2 linked regions of the Canis lupus familiaris genome follow. The protein of the gene in region 1 purifies or fractionates together with the protein of each later gene. This does not show direct contact. Links are inferred from orthologs where the notes say so. Each region holds a gene or a part of one and is shown on either strand. Other genes may lie near its edges. The genes, in order: BAZ1B and SMARCA5.

Region 1 (3,813 bases):
ATCTTGGCACCCTTATCAAAAACGATTGGCTATAGCCGCACTGGTTTGTTTTTGGACTCAGTTCTCCTGTATTGATCTATATGTCTGTCCTTATACCATACCAATGTCTTGATTACTGTTGCTTTGTAGTAAGTTTGAAGTGGGGAAGTGTGAATTTTTCTAATTTACTCTTTTTCAAAATAGGTTTGTATGTTCTGGGGTCCCTCATGATTCTATGGTAATTTTAGAATCAGCTTGTTAATTTCTACAAAGAAGGTGGCTGAGATCGAGCCCTGCATCAGGTTCCCTGCTCCAGGGGGAGCCTGTTTCTCCCTCTGCTTCTCTCTCATGAATATATAAATAAAATCGTTAAAAAAAAAATTTTAGCATTGTAAATGGTAGTGCTCTATACTTTGAGTTTCAAAATTTGTTACAGTTATAGAAAAACTAAAAAGGCAAGATTACATGGCTGTTTTTGTTATTGAGAGAAATTTCTGTCTGAATGAAATAAACCCATATAATGAATGATCAGAAATAAGTTGATTAAAACTTTTTTTTAAAAAAGTTTATTTATTTTAGAGCCTACAAGCTTGGGCAGGGGCAGAGGGAGAGAGATAATCTCAAGTGTGGAGAATCGACATGGGGCTTCATCTCATGACCCTGAGATCATGACCTCAGCTGAAACCAAGAGTCAGACACTTAACCAACTAAGCCACCCAGGTGCCCCAAAACGTTTTTTTTCATCATTAACATTAGTAACTTACTGAATAACCCCCTAAATGGTGTTCAGTATGCATTGATTGCTATTATGCACAAGTACTTGCCTGCCTTTGCTTTCTTAGGTCTTTTTTTTTTTTTTTTTTTTTGTCACTGAGGCTAATTAATTAATAAGCTGAATTATGATAAAATTTCTCAGGACTGAAGTAGGTTTCATTTTGAAATAGCTATTCCGGTTTTATTCATTCTGATCATTTTGAGGATCAAATAATTCCACTTAAGGTTTTTTGTTGTTTTGGATTTTATTGATTTATTTGAGAGAGCAGAGTGAGAGTGAGGGTAGGAGCTGCCCATCCCAGGACCCTGGGATCATGACCTGAGCTAGGGCAGACACTTAACTGCCTGAGTCACCCTGGTACCCCTTAAAGACTGTTTTAATATTTCATTTTAAACTATTAATAAAATTAATCTAATTACTAAAGTTAAATTTTGGAGAGAAAAGAATTTTCACTGAGTTGATGGCTGCAGTATGACCAGAATTCAAAGGACATAGGAAAACCAGACAGAAATTTCTACCTTATAGGAGTGCCTGGGTGGTCTCAGTCGGTTGAGCAGCCAGCTCTTGGTTTTGGCTCAGGTCGTGATCTTGGGTAGTGATCGAATTTGCTTCAGATTCTCTTTCTTCCTCTCCCTCTAGCTCACACTCTGTCAAATAAATAAAATCTTTTTTAAAACTTTCTTACAACAGATCAGAATTAGGAGAAGGAAGCTAAGGTTTGATAGAAATCTCCCTTTATATTTTCTGTTCCGTATCTTATTTAATTTATAAGAATAGGAATTATTAGGAAACATATCTAGTTGATTCTTTTGATCTTTACTAGTGAAACTAGAACGCGAAGCTGAAGAAGAACGAATACGAAAGCATAAAGCAGCTGCTGAGAAGGCTTTCCAGGAAGGAATTGCCAAGGCAAAGCTAGTCATGCGTAGGACTCCTATTGGTACAGATAGAAACCATAACAGGTAAGTTATTAGATTTATTTTTTTGTCATGTTTTAGGGTTATTATATTGTTCCTAGTTATGAAACTCTAAAGTATTTAGAATAGAAAAACTTCCCTGTTTATGGATTTTGGAAACAATTGCTTATCACATATTTATTGAATGTTTTCTCTGCCCACATGTTAGAGTTAAAAGTTAAATAAGATATGATCCTGTTCTTCTTTTTTTTTTTTTTACATTTTATTTATTTATTTGAGAGAGAGCAGGAGCCTGAGCAGGGCTAGAGGGAGAAACAGGTTCTCCACTGAGCGGGGAACCTGATGAGGGACTTGATCTCAGATCTTCAGGATCTGAAGGCAGATGCTTAACCAACTGAGTCACCACTGAGCCATCATATGGCCCAGTTCTGGAAGATACCATAAATATGAGCTTAAATTATTATGATAGGTGAAACGCAATCCAAATAGAGGTCATTAGAAATGGTAATATGTTTTACATGTGTACATTGTGTGGGACCTAGAGTAGAGAAATATTAGAAGTTATAAAAATTGGGACGCCTGGGTGGCTCGGCGGTTGAGCATCTGCCTTCGGCTCAGGGCGTGATCCCAGAGTCCTGGGATGGAGTCCCACATCAGGCTCCCTGCAAGGAACCTTCTTCTCCCTCTGCCTGGGTCTCTGCTTCCTCTCTTTCTGTGTATCTCTCTTAAATAAATAAAATCTTTAAAAAAAAATTTTAAAAAATTAAAGCTATAAAGCAAATCTCAAATTTAAAAAATGTTGGTATTCTGTGCCTTACTTTATCATTTGTATCTGTCTGAATGTTCAGTGATACTCTGTATCAATTCCTCTAACACTGAAGTCATCCTGTGCTCATGATTTGTCATTAGTTTATTAATATATGGTTGTGATTTCTAGATACTGGCTCTTCTCAGATGAAGTTCCAGGATTATTCATTGAAAAAGGCTGGGTTCATGATAGCATCGACTACCGATTCAATCACCGCAAAGACCGTGCAGACTCTCCTGATGAAGATTACTGTCCCCGTAGTATGTATTCTGTCAGTTCTTTTACGCTTTCTAGTAGGGTCATTATTAAGGACTGTCTCTCCTTGGTCACTTTTTCTATTTGCAGAGTTTCTTTATTGTCTTCTTAGGTAGATGTATTTGATGGGGGCGGGAGAATGTGAGATGCATGGATCTAGGAGGGAAACTAGCATTTGATTATCAGCTTTGTTTCAGGTATAGTGTGAAAAGATAAAGAGCTTGAATATTAGAATAGCTAGGTATTAGATTTTATATGAGTAGTCCTCAAACTTTGTTCCTTGGAAGTGTCTCGGTAGGTGCCTTAGTGGCTGGAATTGAGGTAAAGGGCTAAGAAGATAGTTACGGGTCTTCTTCCTCTGCTTTCAGAGTTTATTTATTCAGTTTGAGTAGAGCATCTCATGTGTGCCACCTAGTTTTTCATGTTTTGTGGTACAAGATAGCAAATAAGCCAGATAAGGTCCTGAATGCCATTTAACTGAAATTCTAGTGAGGGGGAAACACAGCAAATAACTAATTAAAAATAAGTGAGAAAGGGTCATAAAGGGTCACTGATGTTCTTTTTCTTGATCTGGATTCTGGTTACATGGGTATGTTCAGTTTATAAATAAATACACAAGTATATTTTGATAGATGTGTATATATATTTTTTCTTGAGCCACATATATATTGAACATACATTATGTGTAAATTTGCAATATTCATATGTATAATATCTCAAGAAAAAAATTTTTAATAAAAAAGGTCAGGTTAGGTCAGGTTTCCTCAACCTCAGCATTATTGACATTTTGGGTCAGATAATGCCTTTTTTTTTTTTTTTTTAAGGGTTGGAGGAGGGGCAGAGGGTGATAGAGCCCAAGCAGGCTCCATGCCCTGTGCAGAACCTGATGCAGGACTCAGTCCCACGTCCCTGGGGTCATGACTTGAACCAAAATCAAGAGTTAGGGACGCCTGGTTGGCTCAGCGGTTGAGCGGCTGCCTTCAGCCCCAGGGTGTGATCCTGGAGTCCCAGGATCGAGGTCTGCATCAGGCTCCCTGAATGGAGCCCGCTTCTCCCTCTGCCTGTGTCTCTGCCTGTCT
Region 2 (4,613 bases), on another chromosome or scaffold:
AACTTACTAATATCCCAGTAGCTCAATTGCCCAGCATCCTGCATTTTCTGCAGCTTCTCTTGCTGCTTCTAGACCCTGCTCAAAATTTGTTTCTCTTTTCCTCATGTTGGATTAGTGGATTCAAACATTGTTTTCTCTTCTTTCTTCTGTATCTCTCCTCTATTTTTAAGATTCCTATACAGATTTTATATGCTTGTATGAGAAACTCACAGTATAAACGCACGTTAAAAGACAACTGCCATTTTAAAGGCAGTTTTATTTATTGCTTTTCTTGCTATTTATTGGTTCCCTTAAATAATCCTCAGACTTTTCTTTAAAAAAAGATTTATTTATTCATACAGATACAAAGAGAGAGGCAGAGACATAGGCAGAAGGAGAAAGCCCCCTGCAGGAAGCCGGATGTGGGACTCGATGGCAGGACCCTGGGGTCATGCCCTGAGCCAAAAGCAGACAAACACTGAGCCACACAGGCATTCCAGTAATACTTAGACTTAAGAACCTTCCATTTACATACTTACATATATTTTTAGGGTTTCCAAAACAGGGCCCAAGATATGTATTATTATAGAGTGGAGAAATATTCCAAATATTAAATGTTATATTCTTCCTACTTAACAATGTCAATATTAAATACATTTTTATCAAACAATTGTTTATTGTGTGTATATGTCAGATACCACCCTGGACACTAACTTTTACCCTGATACCTGAACTTTTTTAGGTAAAAGAACATTTTTTAATATTAAAAATAAATTTTCTCAATAATATAAAAACTCATTTAAAAAATAAAAAATACAAACACAAAAGAGTTAGGACATATACACCACCACTTTCAATACTTTTATGACTATCCTTTCAAATTTTATCTATATTTTTGAACTGTTAAAATTTTTTTTCAATTGACACTATGTAATGAACATTTTTGTACTTTAAAAAAATTTTTTAGATTATTTTTTTTAATTTTTATTTATTTATGATAGTCACACAGAGAGAGAGAGACAGAGGCAGAGACATAGGCAGAGGGAGAGGGAGAAGCAGGCTCCATGCACCGGGAGCCCGACGTGGGATTCAATCCCGGGTCTCCAGGATCGCGCCCTGGGCCAAAGGCAGGCGCCAAACCGCTGCGCCACCCAGGGATCCCCTGCCTGCAACATTTCTTAATGAAAGAAGGTACTTTTTATTGAATATTTGGTGGTTGAGGAAAACACAACCCACCGCCTCTCTTCCTTGGTTACTCGTTTCTCACGTGGCCACGTGCATAGTTCTTTTTTTACTTTTAGCATGTAAATTTGGAGGAAATACAGTCCAACTTGTATCGAAGTACAAGAAATTTAGAAATGATGAATATAGCTACCATGGGAAGACGAAAGAAAAATCACACAAACTTTTCATGAGACGAGAAAGACGTCATTTGGGACAACCGTAACGTCACCGCCATGGCGTCACGCCTATAAGCGGAGGCGATAAAGTGTTAAACTCCGCGCACAGCAGCGTTCCATGCGCGGCGCGAAGTTCCGGCGAGTTCTCAGACGGTGCCATCCGCCCCCGCCAAGCCCGGGGGCGAGCGCGGACGAGCACAGCCGTTAGACCCCGCGTTTGCGTCACGCCTCGGAGCGACGCCCAAACCTACGTCTTCACACACGGCCCCGAGGCCACGCCCACTCCTCGCCCTGGAGGCCGCTGGGAGCCCTCCGGGGGCGTGGCCAAAGGTGAGGCGAGGGAACGCGCAGGCGCACTCAGAACCTAGTCAATCAGCCAACTATTAATCTCGCGAGGGTTGAAAGTCGGTGGCGTAGGTAGTTGTCCTGGATGCTGGTGAGATAGATGATTTTTTTCCCCGAGGAAGAAAAGGGGGCGGCGAAGCTAGTTCCCGGCGTCGGTCTCTCTTTCGCTTTCCTTTCCCCTAACTCCAACCCTCCGCCCTCCCGTAAATCAACCCGCCTTCCCTGACCTCGGTGACCCAGGCGGCCCCGCCCACTCTTGTCGACGTGATTCCCGCCGTGAGGTAAGCGCCGCTCGAATCCCGAGCCCCGCGGAAGAGGAGGCGGACGCAAGGGGGAGGCTGCGGGCCCGGTTCCGGCTCGTAGGAGAGCCGCGGCGCCAGGGGGCATTCGGGTGGCCCTCTCGCTCCTCCGTCAGCTCGTTGCGACGTAACCACCCAGGCCCGGGCCTTCTCATCTCTGCCGAGCCGGGCCTCTGGCAGCAGCGGGTGACGCACACGGAACATCATGTCGTCCGCGGCGGAGCCTCCGCCACCCCCGCCTCCCGAGAGCGCGCCTTCCAAGCCTGCAGCCCCGGCCGCCAGCAGCGTGAGCAACAGCAGCAACAAAGGCGGCCCGGAGGGCGTCGCGGCCCAGGCGACTCCCTCTGCGGCTGGCTCCGGCCCCGCGGACTCCGAGATGGAGGTGAGAGTGGCTTGTGGCGCGGGGCGAGGGCGCAGTGGGGAGGGGGAGCCGGTTCCCTCGCCCGGATTTCAGTGATCGCACGCAGAGCCGTTTCCCACCCCTCCTGCATCCAAACTCGGCCTCGGACCCTTGGGATCCGAAGTGATTAACCCTGCGCCCTTGTGCTTAACCTCCCCACGCCGACTCCGATGGATTTCTGGCACTTCATGTTTACATTATTTGTCTCCAGCGAATCTTGCCAAATTCTCCAACGCTGTTATTAAACACATGTTATTGATTACCGAGGCCGAGAAGGACCTACCCGATTTTTGTTTTCTGTGGGTTTTTTTTTTTTTTTTTTTTTTTTTTTCGGTAAACTCCCATAATTCCCTCCCCCATCTCTGATTCTAGCTTTTAGTTTCCACTAAACTTGCGGGAAGGTAGGGAGAGATGCCCCTTAGTGGCGAGGGAAGGATGCGCGGGGTAGGAAGGCATTTAAAAGCGGTGCGTCCGAGGGCCCAGACCTTGTTTTTCTTCATCCCAGGCCTTGTGGGGGCGGTATCCGTTTTGGGCAGAAACAATGGCTTGAGCTGGAAGGCCGAGTGCGCAGTGGGGATAAGCGGGGCGCAGCTGCTCCCATGGAGGGAGACGAGGCTCCTCCCAGGCACTGTTCCTTTGGGAGGGAAAGCGACCAAGGCAGCAGCAGCAGCTGTCTTGGACCCCCATCTAATTTGAGTCAGGGGATGGATGGGTGAATGGTGAATTAATGACAATGGGGCTGTTGGCTTTCATGTTCAGCGCAATTCCTCTTTTTGGGCCTTGGCCTTCCTTCCACCCTCCTCCCCCAACCCCCCCCCCCCCCCCCGAAAATTGGTACTGCTCGCTAGTCGAGCCTCCCTTCCAGAGCTAGGGTTGGCCAGGGGATGGTGACAGCGCTGCGGGGGTGGAAAGTTTGGGGAGCTGCCAGGCGGGTCTCTTGGGCATGCTCCAAGACTTTGTGATGTCTGGGAACAAAGTAATTGCTTGCTCCTTCCAAATTTTATTCTTGGTCTTCGGTCTGTTTTGAGTTATTTTATAGTCACGGCCTACAGATTTCTGGGATTTTTTCCATCCTTAGGTAGAAGGAGTGAAGGTAATACTGCTCTGAAAAGGATCCTTGATGCAGAATTAACACGATACGTAAATGGAAGTGCAGTTTATCATTGGAGCATTTGGCGTACCAAAGTTTTACTTGGGCACCAAAGGTCTAATCTAGGGTGACGTAACATCACGTTAATAGTTTATGAGAGAATTTTGTGGTGAGGGTAGGTTTTAGTGCAGTAGGACATTGATATCCTGTATTTTTAAGTGTTTTGATTTTAGCTTCAAATTCTTATCAAGTGTTGCTTATTTTTCTTAAGGTTTTAAATGGTTGTTTTGAATTACCAGGACTGTTTAACTTGAATTCTTGCTTCGTGGTGTATGTAAGTGGGTTTGAAAATCTTTGACACTGAAAGCAATTGTGTGTAAATAGACAATTCTCTGCAAAAGGGTGTCCATAGTTTTCATCAGCCTCTCAAAAGGGTCTGTCGTTCAAATTCTGCAATAACAACCAGTATCTCACTGGAGAGGTTAAATATTAGAAAGCAGAGTATTTTAAAGCCTAAACTGCCTTTCAGTTGCTACTTTAAAATTTAAGTGGAATTAAAGTTTTAAGTATGGATATTGATGTCATAACAAGTACCAAATGAAGTCCAGGCCATATTTATTTGCCAAATAAAGAAATTGAGTCTTTTGATAAGTAGAATGTCTGATAGAACCCAGGTCTGGCTCTGAAATGGACCCATTTCCCACATATTTTACCCTGTCATATTCTTACAAGAAGTAGGTTCGAGAATTTTATTTCTTGAGGAATGACTTATTTTTGCTTTTTTGAAATAGGAACATGGGTAATTTCATTTTTTAAATCAATTTCTTCATTTACTAGTTTTAGTCTTGATTTTGTTTCTCTTCGTGTTGATTTAAAACAATTTTTTTTAAGTAAATGTACCTTTAGTCATTTTCTTAACTGAACTTGGTTGGAAATCATTGAAGTTCAGTGATAAAAACTAGGTTTGAGTCTATATATTTAATGTATCTGGCAATCCTAAATTAAATGCCTTTTTTTTTTGTTGTTTAAAAGTAGAATTTAACGTGGATTTTTTTTTCAAAATTAGAAAATAAATGAAGTCTTGGCCTTTACAAATTTTT

Evidence for each region.
Region 2: the proteins of BAZ1B (region 1) and SMARCA5 purify together in Homo sapiens (affinity purification with western blotting; 11 studies listed by BioGRID and IntAct, with this or other methods). This does not show direct contact. The link is inferred for Canis lupus familiaris from reciprocal best matches to the Homo sapiens genes BAZ1B and SMARCA5.

Annotation. Positions count from the first base shown.
Region 1 is NC_049227.1:6,663,395-6,667,207, forward strand, and holds part of BAZ1B (tyrosine-protein kinase BAZ1B), read left to right. Parts: intron 1-1,577; coding exon 1,578-1,716; intron 1,717-2,608; coding exon 2,609-2,739; intron 2,740-3,813. UniProt on the Homo sapiens protein: Atypical tyrosine-protein kinase that plays a central role in chromatin remodeling and acts as a transcription regulator. Involved in DNA damage response by phosphorylating 'Tyr-142' of histone H2AX (H2AXY142ph).
Region 2 is NC_049236.1:43,021,550-43,026,162, forward strand, and holds the start of SMARCA5 (SWI/SNF-related matrix-associated actin-dependent regulator of chromatin subfamily A member 5), read left to right. Parts: upstream 1-1,757; 5' UTR 1,758-2,228; coding exon 2,229-2,405; intron 2,406-4,613. UniProt on the Homo sapiens protein: ATPase that possesses intrinsic ATP-dependent nucleosome-remodeling activity.